Linked DNA regions of Notamacropus eugenii. The main gene of each other region encodes a partner of the protein of the gene in region 2 in a complex. Links are inferred from orthologs where the notes say so. Each region holds a gene or a part of one and is shown on either strand. Other genes may lie near its edges.

Region 1 (11,135 bases), on a different chromosome or scaffold from region 2:
ATTATTAGTCTGAGGAGTCCACAGATTTCACCAGATTATCAAAAATAATGACACAGAAAGTTTAAAAAACTTGCATAGGGTGACAAAAAAAAATAGCAACCCACTTAATATTTGAAGAGCCATTCCTCAAAAGATAAATGGCTATGAACATACCCACAACAAAGGGTGTGGAAAAACAAGATTGAGAGGAAAAGCAAACTATCAAGCACCAGATGAAAAACTGCTCTAAATCAATTAATAAGTAAGAAAAATACAAATTAAAACTCCAAAGGTTTCACCTCACACCTACAAAAAGAGTAAATGATGGAAGAGCTTTGGTAAGACAGAGAACACTGGTGCACTGTTGGTGGTACTGTGAACTAGTCTAACCATCCTAAATATCAACACGAAGTGTTCATATACTACATTATTACTGGACAAATACCACCAAGGCAATCAGTGACCAAAGGACCTCCATGTAACAAACATGGCAGCATTCTTTGTAGCGTCTCTTTGGGAAGCTGCTAGGTGGTAGAGCAGACAGACTTAGTAGCTGGAATACTGCCTCAGGCATTTACTGGCTGTATAACCCTGGGCAATCGACTTAGCCTCCCTCAGCCAGTTTCCTCATCCGTAAAATGGGGATAATAATAGCACCTACCCTACAGGGCCATAGTGAGGCTTAAATAAGATATCAAATAGATAAAGTACTTGGCAAACCTTAAAGCATTAATAAAATGCTAGCTATTATTAGCAATAAAATGCAAACAAAAAGGGCTTCCCTTGACTGAGGAATGGCTGGACACATGGTAATATGTGAACATAATGAAAAATTGTCATAATGAAAAATTGTGCAGAAAGAAATGACAGAAATGAAAATATCAAGAAATCAAGAGAACTTGTATGACCTGATTCAGAGTGAAGAAAACATAACTACATAAATCATATGCACAATGAGTATTAACGTAAAGGAAAATAATAGTAAAAAGTAGTTGAACTATGAACTGTAATGAACAATCTCTCACTCAAAGAACTAATATAGAAACATACCTTCCTCCCCTCAATATTAAGATGGAGACTATTGATGTGGAATGCGATACATACCACAGCTGTACTTACTTGTTTTTGTTTTTTTGTTATAGGAAATCAATGGGGGGGGAGCGGGTAGAGGAACTTAAGAGGAAAAAATTGTGGTATGAACACAATAGAGAAAAACAGAAACAAAACTTTTAAAAATTAAAAAAAACTGACAACACCTATCACATACCCAAGTCTTCCCTTCCCTGAATTAAACATACTTAGTTCCTTTAAGCAATCCTTACATGACACGGATTCCAGACCTTTCACCATTCCAGACAATCTAACTATAGACATGCTCTAATTTGAGAGATGGTGTGGAGTAAGGAAAAAGAACACTTGACTTGAAGTCGGAACAGAATTCATATCCTGGATCTGACATTAACTAGTTGTACAACCACAGGCAAGTCCATTAACATGCACTTCAGTTTCTTCATCTATAAAATGGAAATAATAACACTTAACACTACCTATCTCACAACATTGTTGAGGATATAAGCCATGAAGTACTATATAGACACATAAGCTAATATTATTGTCCATGTCTCTTTAAAATATAGCAGCCTAAAATGAAAATTCTGTTTAAGTAATTTCATATGTGTATATTTATCTCTATCAACTATATTATATTTCAAAGACAGGTACCTTACCTTGACTTATAATTTTGTTTTCTTCCATAACATTTATAGTGTTACTACATAACAAGCAATCCATAGTTGCTCAAGTGACTGTCAAAAGTAGCTCTTAAAATATAGATCTATGAAAAAGGGCAGAGAGCAAATAAAGAACTTAAAAGTCATAGATACAGAGCTGGAAGGGACCCCAGAGCCATCTAAGTTCAACACCCTCATTTTACAGAGGAGGAAACTGAAGCCCAAGGAGATTAAATAATTCATGCCTAAAGTGACACAGGTGGGAAGCATCAAAGGTAGGATATGAACCCAAGTCTGACTCTAGAATCAATGCTCTTTCCACTGTGCCACAATACCACACTATCCGCAAAAGGACAGTCAATGTATTCACTACTTAAATGAATTCCCACGATATAGTTTGGCTTTACCACTATTCCTATAGTGGTCTGTGTGGCACTTGACACACAAGCTTATCCCAGGAAAACCTGAGGTCAAGTCCTGCCTCTGAAACATACTGGCTGTGTGATCCTGGGCAAGTCACTTCACTTCCCTAAGCAACTCTCTAAGACTACAAGTTTCAGAGAAGATGCCAACCTGCATTAGTAGAGGGAGTTTCCTCATCCAGGAGTTGTGACTGTAGTCAAGACATTATGAAAGACAAGCCAAGAAGCTGCTAGAATTAATGGAAAACCAATATAACAATGAAATCACAGATCCAGTCCCCATCCCTGTATTTTAACAAACATTGTTCTCTACCATTTAGCTTTCTCCCTGGCCAGTTTGTATTTTGTGGTGGTTGCATTTCTTTACATTTTTCACAAATTTAAAGTCAATAGTATAGATAGGGTCAAAAATGAATAATCATTTCAAGAGAATAGAAATCAAGAGATTATAGTGCTAGAACTGGAAGGGACCTGAGAAGGCATGTATTCTAGCCCCCTCATTTTACAGAAAAGAAAACTGAAGCCCAGGGAGGATACGTGACTTGGCCAAGGTCACATAGCTAGTAGGTGTCAGTGGCAGGAATTGATCCCAGGGCTAGGAAATCTCATTAGTGCACACTTTACTGAAACAGAAGGCCTCCAGTCCTCAAAGGTCTTTATTTAAGGACTTCTGTTCACAGACAAAAAAGAAAATTTGAAAGCAAATATGACAAATCTGCATATCCTTTTAACCAGTGTGGTTATTTCAGTCCATACCTTGTCTTTTTCATTAAAATTAAGTAAAAGGTGGACTTCTGAGCATTCTTTTCTAATTATCTCTAAAAGCTCAATTAAAGTAAGCTAATGTCACCCAAACTAAACATCTTATTTCTCAAGAAAATTTTACATTCACATGTAAGCTAGAAAAATTAAAATGTTAAGCTCCAAAGCAGGAGTTCTTAACCTTATTTTCTGTCACTGATACCTCTGGCAGTCTGGTGAAGCTTATAGACTCCTCACAGTGTTTTTATATAATTGAAGGAAATGCTAAATTCCAGTGAAAGTTCAGTGAAACAACATTTTTCCCCATCCAAGTTCATGGACCCTCTGAAATCTGCCAACATCCCCCATGATTAAGAAGCCCTCCCATACAGCAAATAACAAGGGAAGATTCTTTCAATATAAGTAACAACTACGCCAAACTCCTTTAGATGCTGTGAGAGGTGAGAAATAGCATTTCATGAGGGAAAAGAAGACTCAGTTGTTTCTAGAGCAGGGGTTCTTAACCTGGGGTCTGTGAACTTACTTCTAAAAATATTTAAATAACTGAACTTCAAAATAATTGGTTACATCTTATGCATTTTATTTTATGCATTTAAATACATTATTCTAAGAACAGGATTACAGGCTTCACCAGACTGCTAATGGTGTCAATGACACTAAAAAAGTTAAGAATTTCTGTGGCATATGGACAGGCTCCTCTCCTACTCCTTCTCTATGTTCTTTTACAGTAGACTCTGATGGCCGGCATCAGTCCAGGAAAAGAAAAAAGCAAAACTGACATGCCATGGAAATGGAAAGCTTATAATTCAACCTTACACTCTCAACAAATGATACCATAAGAATAAAATCGGTTAAGCCAAGCAGAATCCAAGAAAATAAAAGTCCATGCTGCTAGGGCTAAGCATGTTTTAGTAGTGCCTATCTCAAGAGTATATCCAAGAAATCATAAACTATTTTTTCCTATTAGATATGCTTTAGATTGTCAGCATCAACAAGCCAGGTTGCAAATCTTATAGAGCACTTAATGTATTATATAATAAAGGAAATCGGTTTTTAGCTTGTTTCCCAAAAGGAAGTGAATAATCACTACCTGACAGGGGGACTGTTTGCCAAATTCTGAACGAACACCTAAAATCAACCAATATATCTCTTTTACCTATAGGAGGTTAATTCTTCTCCCCAAGTAAATAATACTAAAATCTTTGTCAACCATCCTATATTTCCCAGAGGATGACACAAAAGGAGGTGGAGGATAATAGGGAAAACTGAGTTTGTTTTTCAAAAAGCTTCCCCAGCTCCCTTCCTTATCTTGCAAAAGAAAAAAAAAACCTCCCTCTTCTTCTGAGGTGACCCCAGTGCCATCGAGTGCCTGAGGTGCGGGGAGGGGATGCCGGTGGTCCCCATTCCCGGGCTCTCCCAGGCTTCTAGGCTGGACTCAGGTACCATAACACCTCTGAGGAAGGAACTGGGGCGTCCCTGAGTCGTCCGGGCGAGCTGGACAGACACACAAACGCACGTGGGTGCCGCTACCCCAGCTTGCTGGGGACTCCTAGACTCGGAATGGAGAGGAGACCTGGGGAAGGAAAGGGGGTCGGGGGCAGAGAGGAAGGGGACAGAGGCGAGGGGGGTATGACGTGCTGCTACCTCTCCTGCCTCCTCGCAAGGGGAGAGGCAAACACACATTCTCGGCAGAAAGGGGGGAGGGAGAAGCGGTAAGGAGAGGGGCACCCCGAACGGAGAGAAAAGATGGCAGGGGGAAGGAACGAGAGGGGGGGGCAGCACGAGAGGAGAGGAAGAAGGCCCCAGAGACCAGCCTAACAGGGAGAGGACCGGGACGACAGTGAGGGGAGCCCCGGAGGGAGAAATGAGGGGAGGGAGGCGCCGGTCACCTCGTAGAGCTCGGCCCCCAGCCATGCCCGGGCCTCTGCCCCTCACGGTACCTTCAGCTTGTGGAGCTCCACCGTCTCCGCCGCCATCTTGTCACCCCCTCCTCCCCCAGTTTGCCCCCCTCTCCTGCCTCCGCCTTCTGGAGCTCCCGCCGAGACTCCGAGGATCACCACCACCCAATAGCCGTTGTTTATACTCCCACTCTTTACCATCAGCTTTTTTCATTCGTCGGCCGCCAGCATGGGTCCTCCCCCACGCGACGGTCTGCCGGAGAAGGGGATTGGAGAAGGGTTGGTTCCCTCCCACCAGAGTGACAGGCCCGCTGACTAACGAAACACAGAACATCGAAACGGGTGGCCAATGAGCCACGGCAGCGCCGGGCGTGGAGGGCCAATGGGGACAGTTCGAGGGCACGGCCGCTTCCAGGACACAACAGGTGGACTAGGTAAAGTAGCCGAACTTGCGTCTGGCGGAGTGGCCCTTGGAGCCTCCAGGTGAGGGGATTTGGGAGTGAGGGGATGACTCCGAGAGGAGCGGAGACAGGCCGTGACGGCGAGCTTTGAGGGGCAGGGATGGGGCCCCGGGCTACAGCCCAAGGGTCACTGGGACTCGGGGATCGGCTGGGTTCGGCCGTGGGCTGCCGGCTCGTCTGGAGGAAGGAGATTTGAACGCCCCTTCGTAGTGCGCCTCGGGGGGGGGGCGGGGGGCGGTTCCCGGAGCGCCTGCTCTGCCTGCCCCCACCCCGGGCGGCGGAAGGCCCACAACGTGCTCCCGCAGCTTCCTACATTTTCCAGAAAGGCCAATGGCAGCTCCCCCCGCCGAGGTTGTCGTCCATGGCAGCCCCGGACAGAGAATGGGAGGGGAGAGGTATCGTTCCCGAGCACGTCTACCTCCTGAGCACCTCCCCTTGGACTCACCTGATCTGATTCTCCTGCCCACCCCCGGAAGACGAGAGGACTGCCCCAAATTCCCCTCTATAGAAAGGAAGTGCTCCATGCCCCCTTTTCGCCTCCAACTACGGCCCCTTCCCCCGCTGTTCCCTTCAGGCTAAAGTTAGATTCCCCTCATCCCAGAAAGCTTTTTATCTCTCAGGCCTCAGTATACCAGAGGAGCGCCTTCCCCTCCTCCTCCCCCCAAGTTCAAGGTTCATTGCAGTCACCAAACCGGTAACCGAGGGAGGCAGACCAAAGGAAAGAGAACCCCGGTGAGTCCAGCTCCTGACTCACTATTGTGGCAGGATGAACGTGGGGGTGGCCCACAGCGAGGTGAACCCCAACACAAGGGTGATGAACAGCCGAGGCATCTGGCTAGCCTACATCATCCTAGTAGGGCTTCTACATGTGGTTCTACTCAGCATCCCCTTCTTCAGCATCCCAGTGGTCTGGACCTTGACCAACGTCATCCATAACCTGGTGAGCCTCCAGCCTAAATTCATTTTCTCTTATCCAGACTTGAATTCTTTGGGGATTTGCCCACCTGCCTCAAATCCATAGCTGAAAAGGATTTCTTCTACCTTCTCACCCCCTCCCAGGCCATGTACGTCTTTCTGCACACTGTGAAGGGGACACCCTTTGAGACCCCCGACCAAGGCAAGGCCCGGCTCCTTACACACTGGGAGCAGATGGACTATGGGCTCCAGTTCACCTCCTCCAGAAAGTTCCTCAGTATTTTTCCCATTGTGCTGTGAGTTCCAGGAGGGTGAGGGAGAAGCTAGGTAGAGTAGGTGTTGCAAAGGCCCCCCAAGGGGACATCAGTTAAGTGGAAGGTACCACCACAAGGGGTAGAATCTCTGTAAACTCACTGAAAAACTATGATCTAACCATGCTAGGAGGATAGAGGGTGTTCAGTTCACCAATTATGAAATCCAAAGTATGAAAGCCACGAATAGGCTTGCTGCCTCCCTGTGGTGGTAATGGGGATAGGAGCATCTGGGAAAACTTCAAAGAAATCCTCACCTAGATTCTGTGGTGCAAGACTTTGTTCAAGTGTACAACAAATGAAAGTATAATTGATTTAAAAGGAAGAGGGTAATGTCAGAGACAAGGGGACATTTGCAGTACTGTAGCTTGACCCTTCTTTCATTTTCCATTGATCAACACATTTTGCTATAAACTGTCTATAAATCTATAGAATCTATAAACTACTTCCCATTCAAGAGAAATGCTGTTCATGTGGCAATAGTGAGATAGAGCTGTCATTTAAGGAAATAACAAAACTGACTTAGGGGAAGATGGTAGAAAGAACAAAAAGAGGTCAGGGAAAGGTCCCTCTTTTTCATCATGTTCTTCTTTCTCTCCCCAGCTACCTCCTGGCCAGCTTCTACACCAAATATGATGCTGCTCACTTTGTCATCAATACAGCTTCACTGCTCAGTGTACTACTGCCTAAGTTACCCCAGTTCCATGGTGTCCGTCTCTTTGGCATCAATAAGTACTAACACCTGGCAATGATCACTTAGGTACAGGCTAGGGAAGGACAAGGAACAAAGAGCTGCTCTATCCTCCTTCCCTTTAGCAGCTGAAGACCTGAGGATCAACTGATCTTTTTTTGCCAACTCCAGGGAGATGAATTTGGGGGTAGGATGACTCCCCTGTACAAGTAAGGGCAGGTTCCTTAGAATCAAGAAATATGGGTAAGGGCTGGGCCCACTCTCCTGGCTGGTGCTATAGTTTATCTTTTCCAACTATCTACATCACTGCTATATAATAAAAGCTATTTTTCAGATGTAAATCTAGGGTAGTCAGCAGAACTTTGTGGGAGGTGAAGGAGGGCGAAAAGACTACATTCTTCCCAATCTTAAATTGAAAATAAACCTCTTTCTGATTATTATCATATCCCATGCCTCCCTGAAACTGTTTCTTGTCCCCACTCAACCAAGAGCAATCATCAGAGATTAGTAACTCTTATCATGTAGAAAATAGGGTCAGGGCAAGTGGGCACACAAAAGAGGTAGGCATAGCTTGCCAGTTATATTTATAGAAAGGTAAATCCCCTGGCTTTAAATAGATATGTACATACAAATATGAACAAACTTAAAAAAAAACCTTTTGATTACATAGGGATAGCTGGGGACAACCCCACCACCACCATCACCAAACTTGCTTTTTTGCCTCCTACCCACCAAGGGCGTGGGGACTTGAGTCTGCTTTAAAAAAAAATTGTCAAATCAGCCATCCTTGCAGAAACAACCCTGAGGTTAGGTAGGAACCATAGAACAGAAAGAGGCAGCATTTCCATTCCCTGAATGGTCCTGGGCTTTTACCCACCCCTGAATATAAGGGCCACTTGCCTCCTCACATGGATGATAGAGGAGAAGGCCCAGAAACAAAGGTCCAAGTTAACAACAGAATGAGTACCACCCTGGCCTTCGGAAGGAGGGACAATATAAGAGCCCCCCCCCAAACCCTAGAGAGCTCTGTCCCACACAAAATACTCATCAGTCCCAATCCTAGCCATGGTCTAGGCACAGGGCCCTTCCTGCCAACCACCCCACTATTTCTTTGGTATTGTCATCAAACAAGATTCAGTTCTTAGTTCCCAGAGTGGGGATTCAGTGGCTTCCCACAAGTCACTGAGTGAACAGGTAATGCTTGAAACTTTTTGAATATTGAAAATTTTTTAAAAAACAAAACAAGTTCCATCCTATGCTGTACACAGCCCTTATGATTCCCTGACACTGAGCTGAGGAGGGTAGAGAAGAGGAAGAGACAGGGCATCAGCGCTGGAAGGGCCTCCTCACTTTTTTCCGCCGCTTCGGTTTGGCTTCTGAACCTTTGGATGTGGTGGAACTGTCTGGCCTGGAGGGTGGGGTGGCCCCAGGGCCAGGCTGAGAAGCTGCAAAGAAATTTCCATTGGGCATCTGGCCTGGGGGAACCTGAAAGATCCGGCTGAAGAAATCCTGAAGGTCAGCAACTGAAGCTGGGGGGGCATCTGGAGTGACTCTGCAGTAAAACAAATATTGTGATGAGGAGATGAACATTCCTAAAGATACACAGATGTTTTACTTATTAAGTAAAAGTACCAAGTCATTGGCCAGGATACACTGGGATACTAAACTGTTCTGTATAACCAGTTCTCTGAAACAACAGGCAGGGAAAAAAACACTACCTACCTCTGCCGCCCACCAGGACCAGGAAACCGGGACCCAAATGAGATGTGATAGGGGACTCTGTGGGTATCAGGGGAAATCCCCACACGCTGGCACCCAGCCCATTCTGCAAACAAGAGGGAGGCAGATAAAACAGTACAACTCAACCCAAGTGAATATCCAAACTCCATTCTATGTAACTATATGTCCAGGCCCTTCCTAAGACTTGTTCAGTTGTTTCAGGTGTGTCTGACTCTTCTTGACCCCATTTGGAGTTTTCTTGACAGAAATACTGGAGTGGTTTGCCATTTCCTTTTCCAGCTCATTTTCCAGATGAAAAAATAGGCAAACAGGGTTAAGTGACTTGAGCAGAGTCACACAGCTAGTGTCTGAGGCTAGATTTGAACTCACAAAGATGAGTCTTCCTAAATCCAGGCCTGACACTCAATCCACTGCACCCCCTAGTGGCCCTCCTAAGACTATATAGCTTCCACATTATCCAGCATCACAGACAACTAAACATTCTGGCCCTTCTGTTACCCATTCTTTTTTTCTATTTATTAATTTGTTTTCAGTTTTCTACAATCACTTCCATAAGTCTTAGATTTTCTCACTCTCCCTTCCCCATTCCTCCCTAAGATGGCATGCAATCTTATATGGGTTCTACACATACATTCTTATTAAACACATTCTCACCTTAGTCATGTTGCAGAGAAAAATTAAAATGAATGGGAGAAACCATGAGAAAAAAACAAAACATAACACAAGAGAAAATATTCTGCTTCATTCTGCAATCCAATTCCACAGTTCTTTCTCTGGATGTGGAAAGCGTTTTGCCTCAAGAGTCCATTCGGAATATTTTAGGTCCTTGCATTGCTGTAAAGGGCTAAGTCTACCAGAAAAATTCCTTACACACTGTGGTTGTTACTGTGTACAAAGTTCTCCTGGTTCTGCTCCTTTCATTCAGCATCAGTTCATATAAGTCCTTCCAGGCCTCTCTGAAGTCCTGTTCATTATTTCTTATAGTAATAGTATTCCATTACATTCATGTACCACAACTTGTTCAGCCATTCCCCAATTGATGGGCATCCCCTTGATTTTCAGTTTTTGGCCACTACACGGAGAGTTGCTATAAATATTTTTGTACATGTAGGACCCTTTCCCATTTCTATGATCTCTTGGGGATACAGTCCTAAAAGTGATATTGCTGGATCAAAGGGTATGCAGATTTTTGTGGCCCTTTGGGCATAGTTCCAAACTGCTCTCCAGGTTGGGTGGATCAGCTCACAGCCCCACCAACAATGAATTAGTATTTCAACTCTCCCACATCTTCTCCAACATTTATCATCTTCCTGTTTTGTCATGTTAGCCAATCTGACAGGTGTGATGTGGTACCTCAGAATTGTTTTGATTTATATCTCTCTAATCAATAGTGATTTAGAGCGTTTTTTCATATAACTATAGATAGCTTCAATTTCTTCCTCTGAAAACTGCCTGTTCATATCCTTTGACCATTTATCAACTGGGGAATGACTTGTATAGTGCATTTGATTCAGTTCTCTGTATTTTACAAATGAGGCATTTATCACAGACACTAGTTGCAAAAATTCTTTCCCAGTTTTCTGCTTCCCTCCTAATCTTGGTTGCATTGGGTTTGTTTGTGCAAAACTTTCCAATTTAATGTAATAAAAATTACCCATTTTGCACTTCATAATGTTCTCTATCTCTTGTTTGATCATAAATTTCTCCATTCTCCACAAATCTGACAAATATACTATTCCTTCCTCCCCTAATTTGTTTATAGTATCAATCTTTATACCTAGATCATGTATGCATTTAGACTTTATTCTTGTGTATGGTGTCTGTTACCGACATTCTAACCTATCCTGAGGCAGGGTTGGAGTATACCTGTGATGTCATATACTTTTCCATCCATCATGGCAAAATAAGTGATCTTGAGGCCCAACATGCTTGACTCTGCCCAGAAGTCACCTTCCTCAGCAGGATGCATCTTGTTGCACTCAGCACAGTATCGAGCATACTGAGACTCTCGATCCATTTCAAATCTCCTGTCCCCGAACACAAAAACCTCACGTTAGTCCTAAGTATGGCCAAGTCATTATCTTGACTTTAACAAACGATTTGTGCTGACAGCACCACTTATTAGACATGTCCAGAAGGACCGTGTCCTTTCTACCTAATAATTAAATTATTATTCTCCCTTTGCTCAACTATATGCTGAACCACATCCCCAGTCCCAAGGCTTTT
Region 2 (10,776 bases):
GAACAAATGTGAATATAAATTCTCTTTCTGAACAATGAAGTAGGCTTTAACACACTGTATACCCTATTATAAGATGAGCCATGATTATAATGGTCTGCCTATACTTCCCACCCCTTTTTAACCACAGGTCAGGGATCCACAAGACACAAATTACAACCATACAGGGCTGTTTTTTTTTTTTTTTTATTTTTTTTTTTACAACAAAAGCCCTAGTTTTTTCCTGCTATCACTACTGGTCCCTAAACATTTATAGTGACAATGCATCAATTAATACTCTATTTAAGTTTCCGGAGGCAAACTTTCCATACAGACTTCACTAATAATTTTTTAGAAATACCTAGAATCTTATCTCTAGGAACTTGCCCTCATTTTGAACTCTCTGAAGAAGCTAGCGGTACCTACCATCATTTTTTTTAAATGAAAAAATACTTTAGCTACTCTGTGGTAGCTGAAGCTGAAAGCTTTGTTTATTTTTGGCCAGTGAGTCTAGTGGTTCAGAGTGTGTGTTATATTTAACTAGAGCTAAGCACAGCCATGCAAGTGCTCCCATTTAAAGTCCTTACAGTTGCATGGCACCGGCCTCCAGACTGCCAGCCACAGCTTGGACATATCCTTCCACAGCCACTCTCCGGACTTGCATACACAGTCTATGAATAATAAAGAGCAGGTTTTACTTCAGACCTAGGTGGAAATATGGATTGTGCCTTACTGGAAATTTAGGCTGAAAACCATAGTCTTCTCTAATCATATATTCAGACTTCTTGTTTTTGTCTAGATATACCAGTTACATTGGGAGTGGCTTCCTTCATTAGCTTTAAAATCACTTTGTTTCCCAAGTTACTTAGCATTGTCAATACAAATAAATTAAGACTATTCAGAATTTCTGGGGTGGTGGGAGAAGAGATAAAAAGCCTATTTTCCTAGCTTTTAAGTCATTTAACAATACCACAACAATGAGAATAAAGAGGAGATATGAGATGCCAAGAAACTTGATTAGATTTCTTGAGGAAGTCCCAAAAAATAGAAAATTACAACACACTAGTACCTACAACATGATCCAGGCCACACTAAATTGCCAGCCCCCAAAGAGAAAGGCAGCTAGTTACTTATTTGTACTTATCAACCAAAATAAAATGCTCTTTAACTCCTTTTTCCCTCCAGAAAATCCTCAGCTCTTACCCTGAGGCACCTTGTAATAATCCACCATATCCTGTACAGCCATCAGTAGGGCTGCCTGACAGGCATCACCAGCTGCCTCTGGAGGATTATGACCTACTCTCTCACCTGCTTAAGTTTCAATGCTGCCTGGACAGAGGGTCTATTCTCCATCTGCTGGGCCAGTCTTCTGTTTCTGGCACTGGCTAGCTGCTGTTGCTGCTGCATCGTAGCCCGAATATTCACTGGCATCGGCTGTTTGTTCTTCAGCATATTAGTAAAGCTTCAAGGTCGAACAAAATGGGTGTTTAAATAAAAGCTTTATTACAAAACATTTATTGGCATTTTCATGGCTCTCTAGACCAGGAGCTCCAGATCCCACGAACTTTATGTAAAGTGGTACGCTTAGGTCAAGGCTGATGTGGGTCAAGGACTCCTCTGTTTCCACAAACGTGCAAGAATCAGAAACTTAGAAATGCAGGTAAGTGCAGTACATTCATTCAAAAGTGATAACAAGGGCTTAGGTTACTGCGTTTAGAAAAGTGGAAGGAATGAAAAACATGAAATAAGCAGATATGGTGATGACAGGAAAACAGAAGATGTTACAAAGAATCAGAAGAAGACAAAAACAAATACTCTGGGGTGGGGTAAATCAGATAAGTAATTTTAGAGGCAATTGGTCTGAAGTGCACCTTATGGGTGAATGTGGACCGATTATAGTACCCTCTAAAGTCCATGGAAATGATGCCATCATATCAACAGAGGAGTGTATCAAATTTTCCCATTGTCTCTGTCAATCTAGTTACATGTAAAATACAGTCATTTTATAATCTCATCACATGCCATGAACTAAGACAGAAACTAGGGCAAATGGTGAAAATTTTTAGAGGAGAGTCCCAGCACCTATGATTTTATCAGTGCAGGAAATTCCCTTTACCAACACAGAACAGCACTTACTCTGAAACTCAGGATCACGACGATCTCAGGGCCAAATGTATTCCAACTGCCTCATTTTATAGAAGAGGAACTGGGGCCCAGATAGGATAATTAGTAATTTGTTAAAGGTCACACAGTTACTAAGATTTTTAGGTGAGACTCCACTGAGGTCTGACTTTAAGTCAGGCTCCCTAAACAAACACCTCTCATCTGAGAATTCTGGGAGGTTAGGTGACCTAAGGTCACAGTCAGTGGCTCCTTGAACCCAGGCTTTCCTGACTCAAATGGCTTATCTATCCACACCCAGAGGAGCCTTCATGTTGAACATTTTTTGGCCTGGACTTAATGATTCCACTGGTATAGAGAGCTATCAGTAATGAGGCTCCCTCTACCAAGGCAGGTTTACCCCTGCCTTAACTTAAAGAAAAAAATCTTAAGAGAGCTGCCCAGGGCACTGAAATTAAATTACTTGCTCAAAGTTATAGAGCCAGAATGTCAGAGGCAAGACCTGAATTTGGATCTTTTCAACCCAAAAGTGTATTCTCTATCTACTACGTAATGCTTGCCTCTCATGGTGAATATTAATCTTAACAGTTTAAAAAAGAAACACCTCCCCACTAGTTTGCTCTGTCCCATACTGTAATTTACCTTCCATTTAATTAAAGGAACCCCATAAAAAATTTTAACAGAAATCTTTATGGTGTTATATTTTAACAGCTTTACTTTCCTGGGCTTAAAATGGCTTCCCTCCTAATTACCCCAAGTGAATCTTCTTGAAAAAGTCATGCATTAGCGCAACAACTTAGGTTAAGAATGTGATGACACTCCAATGAGTCTCATCTATGAAAGGTCAATATGAACAGGAAAGAACATTTAACAGAAAAAGAAGTAAAAACAAAGCCTAAAGCAGTACTGAAAGATGCAGAGTTGAAGCAAAGAGGGTGCCTCTTACAAGGCCCAAGAACAGCATTCAAGAGCCTTTGGGCTGAGTTTTGGCCTGCTACCTGCCTCTTACAGGCCGGACCACAATCATGTCGGCCTTGGACTGGGCAGCAAGCCTCCTACGGCCAGGGTAACATGCTACTGTGCTGCAGCATCCCCTATATCAATGTAAAAAACATGAAGAAAAAGGGAGGGTGTGAAGTGCTTGAGTTTAAAACACATCCCACCAGGTTAACGGTTCAAATAATTTAACGTACACAGCTACCGATAACGTGTTCTGTAACATTGCCCACTCTGTTTCGCGTACCACAGTATGAGGCGACTTAAGAACAGAGGTCGTTAGCCTTCTGTTGATATTTAAGTTAGCTTTAACTTAAACACTGGGCAGAAACCAAGATGGTTTGAGAACATCGGACCCCGGGGCCAACTTAAGTAAAGCTTCCTTAGGGAGGAGCTGAAGTTTCTGGTGGCTGCCTCACCGCTCATTTAGAGACATCTTGGTGGTGCTCTTTAGCACAACTTTCGGAGCTGACTGTGCAGCCATCTTCAGATCCCGGGAATCTGCAAAGGATAACGGGCGGTTTAAACACAACGGTAAGGATGCCACCCCAGGGGGCCGACACAAGCAGCCGCTGGGAGAGGGACAACGGCCTCGCTAACAGAAGCGGCCGTCCGAGAGAGCGGCGCGACGACACAAAGCGGGGCCCGCAGTGAACAAGGGGGGCCGCCCCGCCGAGAATCCGGGATGGGGGTGCCAGGAGGCCAGCAGCTCATCAAGGAGGGCCCCTCACTGACGGGCACCGATCGGGAGGCGGTGGCAGGACCCTTCCACAACTGCCCCCGAAAGCTTCCATCCCGGCCTTCCTCAGATCGCCTCCGCGGAGCCCTGGGACCCCCAAACCAACTAACACTGCGTACCCAAGCATACATGGCACCCCGACTTCTCTCTCAAACTTGGCGGCCTAAACCTTCCACCGGCCTTTTCTCTCCTCCGTCTCTCCCCCGCTCCCAGCCCCCAGGGTCCCCTTCTCTGGGGCTCCTCGCCCCACCCCCCGTCATTCTTCGGGTGCTGCTCCCCAGCCATGGGGCCCCCAAACGCTCTCCTCCTCCGCCCTCCGTCCTCACCCTCTAGCTCCCTCGGTCGTTCCGCGGCCACGCGAGCTCGTCTTCCCCCCCCCCCCCGCCCCCGCCCATCGCTCGCCTCCCGCAGCGCTTTCTAGTCACGTGACAGGCGCCCCCCGCCCCCCCTTTGGTCGTTCCCTTCTCCCCACCTTACCCCTTCCTCTTCAAGCCCCCCATCCAAGGTTTTTCTTCAGCCCCCCTCCCCCGCCCCAGGCCCCAGGCCCGGCCGCGCACGCGCGCACGCACCAAAGGACACGGACGCCAGCGCTCCGCCGGGGGCCGCCGCTGCCACTGCGGTTGCGGTTGTGGGGCCGGAGACCGGCCGCGCTGGGCTTGTCTGGGGCGGCTGGAGGTGCTGGGCCGAGACCGAGGGTGGTTAGCCGCTTGCGTGACGGGCTGGCTGTTGGGTCCTCGTCCTTTCAGGCCGCCCTCTCGCCCGCTACCGCAACCCACTCCCACTCGGCGACCCGAACAAAATGGCCGCCACGCTTGGAGTGGAATGGCGGTGGCCAAAATGGCGGCGGCGCGTGGACGTTGGTGTGAGACGCGCGCTCGTCGCGAGGGGCGGGGCTGTCGTAGGCCCGGCCCCCGGCGTGGTTGCTAACACGTGTTTCCGGGGGGGAGGAGGGGGGCGGTGACTACCTGGTGCTTTTGTAGACCCAGCGGGCATTTACACTGTACACCCTGGTCTTGTGCCCATCCGACCCTGAAATCCCGGGCTCTGTCAGGTGCCCGCTCCCGGTGCCCCCAGGGTGAGAACAGGTGGCAGCGGTAGACCCGGGTCCTTCCCTCCCCGCCCAGGCTCAGCCCTGTTTTCGCCGCTCACTTGTCCGGGCTGTAACCAGGAGCAGACCGAGGTTTAATCCCAAGCTGCCGTTTATGCTTCCCCGTTTAACCTGTGGCTAATTAGGCACCGCTTTCACTGTGCAGTGACAGTTGGGCTGTAGAAGAGGTCGGGTCTTAACCTGGGCTTCAGAAACTGTTTTAAAAATATTTTGACAATCATTTCAGTGTAAATGGCTGCTTTTGTAATTGTACGCGTTTTGTGCACTTAAACAAGAATTCCGAGAGGGTCGGCCATCTTCACCAGTCAATCGATAAACATTAAGTGCTTGGCGCCAGACTGCCAGATGTAACCAAACAGTTCACAAAGAGAGCTCCTGGATGAAAAACGTTTTAAAAGTCTCAATTCTTGATCTTATTATCCTAAATGATTTTTGGACCTCTATCCCTTCTTAGGGTACAGCTTTACCTTATTAACAACTCAACCTTGATTACATCCTGATGAAGTGGAGGGAGACTCAGGTGATTGATCAGCCCTCTTTACCTGTCTTAGAATCTTAGTCCTTTTCGGAAAGAGGGTTCCTCCCCTTCTCACCTTTCAAAGGGGAAAATGAGGCACACTATACAAGTCTACCCTCCTCCTCCATCGGTCTGGAACCCAAAATATCCAATCTCCAGGGATTTTCAGAAGAGTCATGACCCCTTCCAATAACTGCCCTCAGGCAGAGTTAGCCCTTCTTCTTCACTAACCCCCAAAGGAGACAGACACCACAACTGTTGGGAGAGGAGCCTTTAATGCATAATGGAGCAGTGATCCACAAATGCTATGGTCCAGCCTGGGACAGTAAACTGGGGGAGGCTGAGGGCAGAGAGAGGGCTATGTGGGAGGTGAAGGTGGAAATGGGGGGATGGATGGGGGGAGAGATGGAACAGGGTTATTGGTGCTGGCCAGGGCTGAACTGCTTGCTCAACTGTTCTCCCAGAAGAAGTTGTTGCAGGCCACAGTGAGTGCAGCCACCAAAACCACATACTCCTGGAAGTCAACTTCACCGTCCCCATTCTCATCCAGCTCCTTCATCACCTTGTCCACTGCATCTGTATCCTTCTGAGTCTAGAACAAGGGAGAAGGGGGTTTCTGTGATGGAGGGCCAGGAAGACTTTAGGGGGCATGAAGAATTGGGACAGAATGGGAGGAGCAACTGACTTGAGCCAGACTATGGAAGATGACTGGGATGGACATGGAAAAAACTGGGAGTGAAAAGGACCAGGCAAGTGTATTGAAATTTGAGGGCAAGGGACAGGGAGATGTAGGAGAAGGTGAGAGGGGTGTGAGTGGGATGGGAAGGGAAAGCTGGACTGGACTGGAACTTGGACTACTTTGTATCTTTCTTCATGTTTTTAATGGATCCCCCAGTCAACTTAAAGAGTATGAGCTCCTTCAGAAGTGGGCAGTGGGATTCATCTTTAGGTTCTCCAATGCCTGTCACAGTGTTTTGCATATAACTGGCCCTTAATAAATGTTTGTTGAATTGATTTAAATTGAGAGAGTCTAAGAGGCCTTTGAGGGATACAGGAAGGAACTGAGATGGGGTTTGGGAACATGATAGAAGGGAAATGTAGAAGCTGCTTCCCATGCAGTTGGAGTCTTCCTGTAGCTGGCCCTCAGGCCAGGAGCCCCAGGGTACTCCTCCACCTCACCCAAGCAGTCACCAAACACTCACATCCAGGAAGCCAGAAAGCTCTGCCTGCAGTAGTTCCTTCAGTTCCTTCTTGCTCAGTTTATACTTGTCACCTTCCTTGCCAGAGTGGGCGTGGAATACATTGATGAGGGATTCCATGGCAGTCTCCAGCTCCGAGCCCATGGCTGCAACACACCTACCTACCCCCACCCCCCCACCAGGCCAGAGCAGGGTGAGGTTGAGATAGGGAATAGGGATCAGGGCCCAGGGCTGCTGGAAAGAAGAGAGCCCTGGGCTCCTAAAGTCCTTATATTATAATGCATATATAGATGATTTGGACTCCATCCTTCATGATGTGGATTCCATCCTCTAGGACTATATTCAACATTGTTAATTATTTTTTAAATTAATATTTTACATACTCATCATTCTTAGCAGAAACCAAAAGAACTGATTAATTCAGCCCTTTTTTTTTTTTAAAGCATCATAAGCCTCAGACCTGTAAGGGACCTTAGGGATGAATTCCAATTCTCTAATTTTATAGATGACTGTAAACTGGGATAACGATGAGAAAAACTGAGGACTAGCAAGGAGAAATGACTTGCCCAAGATCATATATTTGGTTAGTGCAGAACTGCAACTACAGCCCAGATTTCCCTGGCTTCTTTCTAGCACACTATGCTGCCTCTCCCCATGGTCTAAAAACAGAACTAAAAGTTCAGAGAAAAGGGAGGAAGTTGAAGGTTCAAGGCTAAGGAAGGAAAGAGACGGGGCTAGAGGTGGGGATAGAGTGGGGAATAGGGCGGATGTTGAAGGATAGGATCTGAGGGACCTCTGAAGAGGGGGGCATTATGGGTACATTAGATTGAGGGGTAGAAACAGGGAACACTGGGCAGCATCAGGGAGCAGGAGGAATTCAGCAGTGGATGGACAAAAAGGACATGTTGCTCACTGGGCAGCTGCCCATGGGAATGAGGGTGGGTCTTAGGAACGGACAAGTCTTTCTCAGGTGCTATTTTTATCACAGGCCTAGTGTGTTCTGCCTAGGCTTAGGTGTCTGTTCTGCAACTATCCCTGCCTCTCCATACTGAGAATGAAGGGGGGTAGGGATGAAGGACCACTTATGCAGTGTCACACTCATGCTTCTTCCTAATTTCTTATATTTGATGCCCCTAAATTCTCTCTCTGCCCAGGGGTTCTCAACCCCCTACTCACATCCCTTTGACTCCTCTAGCATGCTCCCTACTTTTAGTTCCTTTGCCCCTTGCCCCTGCCTTCTATACTTTAGAATCTGTCAGACTGAAGTCTGTCTTGAGAACCAACTCTTTCTCATCAGACCTGGATGGTGGGAATGGAGAATGGAATGTTTGATCCTTATCTCCCAGAGCTGGGCTCCAGGGTGTGGTGGAGGTGGGGAAACTAAAAGGTTCCAAGTACAATCTCCTCTTCCCCACCAGCAGCTTGAACTTGAGAAGGGGACGAGTGGCAGTGTAGTTGGGGTGATCAGAAATGACAGGGGAGTTGTATACCTGAGGTTCCATCTGAGGCAAGGTGCAAGAAATTAGAGGGGAGGAAGGAGGATGAGGTGTGAGGTTATAGTGGGCTATGACATTGGAGAGGGGCTTCAAAGCCCAGACACTCCTCAGCTCTAGGAGTAAACAGCACCACTTCCCCCTTCTTCTCCCCTTCCCTCCCCCCACTCCATCCTCAGACGGGATCTCAGGTGTCCTAGATCAGGTATCTCTCACCTCTTTCTCCAGGACTGGGGGGATGGACAATGGGTCCTCTCGGATGACACTCTAGCTCCTCAATGGATCCCTTGTGTCACCTGAACTTCGGACATGAGAGATGGTTGTCACAGAGACCAAGCAGGGGGGAGGATGTGTGGAATGGGAACCTGAAGCTTGGGTCTGATGGGGGGATAAGGGGAAGGGGGGCTGCCATCTCCTGTTACCAGCCCCATCACTGATCACTGATGTGGAGGTTCTGAGGGGCTAAGGGAACCTTGAGTTTTCCCCCACAAACATGCCTATGGACCCTTTGGAAAGCCTTAGAGAGTACAGTGTGATATGTAGTATCTCTGAAAGGTGTCAGCTCAGAGACTTTGTTAAGGGTACAGCTGAAAAATGCCAGAGGGAGGAGGGGAAGAAGTAAGGAAGTTAGGAAAGAAAGAGAAGAAAAAGAAGTCAGTGGGTTACTGAGTAGAGAAGGAGGTGAATGGGACTCCCTTCCTAGAATCCCCCACCCCCCACCTTGGTGCCCACTCATAGAAACTTTTCATCTATTGTGTTTGTATGTTATTGGGGGTTTAAACTTGGGAATAGGCTCAGGCCCGGGGTAAAGGAATTGTTCTACTTTGTAATCTTAACCTCTCCCCCACCCCAGGGCCCTTGGGGGTTGAAGAAAGCTTGGATTTGGGGACAGTTGCCTAGTCAAAACTTATCTGTCTCCTACTTGGCTCATGCTAGGGCATGAGCAAAGCAGAGTAAAGGCCTAGGGCCCAGATGTTTCAATCCTTCACCCTCAAACCCAAGAGAGAGATGAACTGGGGTCTAGGAAGCCCCAAAGATGGAGAGGGGAATCTTGGGGGTTCCTCAGCTGGAAAGGATCATTCTATGAGGAATGGGTTGTATTGCTTTTGGAGAGAAGAGAAATCTGTCCTCCCATCCCACCATTTAAGTCCTCAGGTAACTGCGTCCTCCCTCCGTGGATGGACCCTTCAGATCCTTCACTGGGCCCCAAAGTCCCCTATCTCTCACTGATAGTCCCCTTTATCTGAGCAACATTCCCAGACTCTTGGAGACCACCATCCCCTCTGTAGTTAGCACACCCTCTGGATCCGAGAAAGCAGAATACTCACGGGTGGGTTCCGGGCTGAAGGGCGAACAGATGAGAGGGACGAAGCTACGTGTCCTGTGACCAGAGCCGGTGTGGGGAGCTCTCACTTCAGACGTCCTTCTCCCCACTCTGGACACCCCCTCCTACCTTTAGCTCCACCCCCTCATCGGGCTGACCGCCCGTGGGGCAAACAGCCAGCTAGCAGACAGAAGCGCCCTCTGTCTCCAGGGTCGGGACAAGCTGGCCCTGTTTTACCTCCTCCCCCAGGTCAGAGTTTTGGTTTTGTTTTTTTTAAAATTCCTTTCCCCACATGTATGCTAGCAATCCACGGGGGTTCTTAGTTGATCTTGATGCCAGCTCAACCCTGGCACAGAACAGAGAGGGCAAGGAAGGATAAAGTAGAGGGGAGAGAGAGAGAGGTAAGATCAGAGACCGCAAGATGCTGAAGTCTTCTGGTCCTTGGACCGCCCTGTAACTGTCCATTGCGGCAAGGCATGGTCATTATGCCTTATGAGCAGAAAAAGAAGGGGACTCCTCCAATAGAGTCTCTCAGATCGGGACCTCATCTCCAGATACTACCTTCTTTGCTCTTAATTTCATCAACAGCCAGCTGGGATGCACGAATTAGGACTTTTTGAGGGGCTGGGTGGGGGAGATAAGAGGGAGATGGGAAGTGAGCGGGAGGGATTTAAAGGACGAGCTGAATGGAGGTCAGAGGCACATACTTGGGGGCTAAGATGCTAGGGCTGGAAGGGTGGTTGAGACCGGGAAAGTGAGGTTTGACATTTGTTTGCTTCAGGGCAGGGTTAAAGCGGGTAAGGTGGTAGTGCCGTATGGGTGAGGAGGAGTGGGTGGGCGTGCCTTTGCCGAAGTTCACCACGGGAAACTCTATACCTCGGGATATACACAGAGGACTCTGTCTCCCCAGCTCCACCTCCCGGGCTTTTATAAACCTCAGCCCATCCCTGCTTCTTCTTGAGGCAAACCCGGAGGGTAAGTATCAAACCTACTTCACCTACTCCTTTTGGAGTGGGGTGGATGAGGGACCCTCTTCCCTAGGAGAAAGACGGGCTCCTCCTCCCAGTCCTGGAACTGAGAGTTCAGGAAGTGACTTTGGGGCTCTGAAAGTGGGGGTAGAAGGGTCCTTGAAGGGGATGAACAGGTTGGAAGAAGGTCAGATGTAAGTTAGAGAGGGCTTGGAATATCCCTTTTTCTCTAACCCTCTGTCCTCTGAGAACTAAACCCTGGGGGCTGTAAAGAGATCGTTAGTTGGCAGCTTAGTTCCAGCCTCTGACTCCGTAACTTAAAAGATGGGAGGAGC

The links. The genes of interacting proteins can lie anywhere in the genome.
Region 1: CHTOP (region 2) and SARNP share a complex: the UniProt entries of both Homo sapiens proteins name them as parts of the transcription/export (TREX) complex. The link is inferred for Notamacropus eugenii from reciprocal best matches to the Homo sapiens genes CHTOP and SARNP.

What each region holds. Positions count from the first base shown.
Region 1 is NC_092874.1:231,064,323-231,075,457, forward strand, and holds the start of SARNP (SAP domain-containing ribonucleoprotein), read right to left. Parts: upstream 5,002-11,135; 5' UTR 4,993-5,001; coding exon 4,834-4,992; intron 2,357-4,833; exon of another isoform or gene 2,310-2,356; coding exon of another isoform or gene 2,283-2,309; intron 1-2,282. Other genes in the region: ORMDL2 (ORM1-like protein 2), read left to right, coding at 5,141-5,274, 6,018-6,192, 6,312-6,463, 7,082-7,217. UniProt on the Homo sapiens protein: Binds both single-stranded and double-stranded DNA with higher affinity for the single-stranded form. Specifically binds to scaffold/matrix attachment region DNA. Also binds single-stranded RNA. Enhances RNA unwinding activity of DDX39A.
Region 2 is NC_092873.1:377,595,193-377,605,968, reverse strand, and holds the start of CHTOP (chromatin target of PRMT1 protein), read right to left. Parts: upstream 4,672-10,776; 5' UTR 4,402-4,671; intron 4,280-4,401; exon of another isoform or gene 4,159-4,279; intron 3,595-4,158; 5' UTR 3,578-3,594; coding exon 3,513-3,577; intron 1,439-3,512; coding exon 1,285-1,438; intron 648-1,284; coding exon 564-647; intron 1-563. Other genes in the region: S100A1 (protein S100-A1), read right to left, coding at 5,906-6,049, 6,660-6,800; S100A13 (protein S100-A13), read left to right, coding at 10,289-10,448. UniProt on the Homo sapiens protein: Plays an important role in the ligand-dependent activation of estrogen receptor target genes. May play a role in the silencing of fetal globin genes.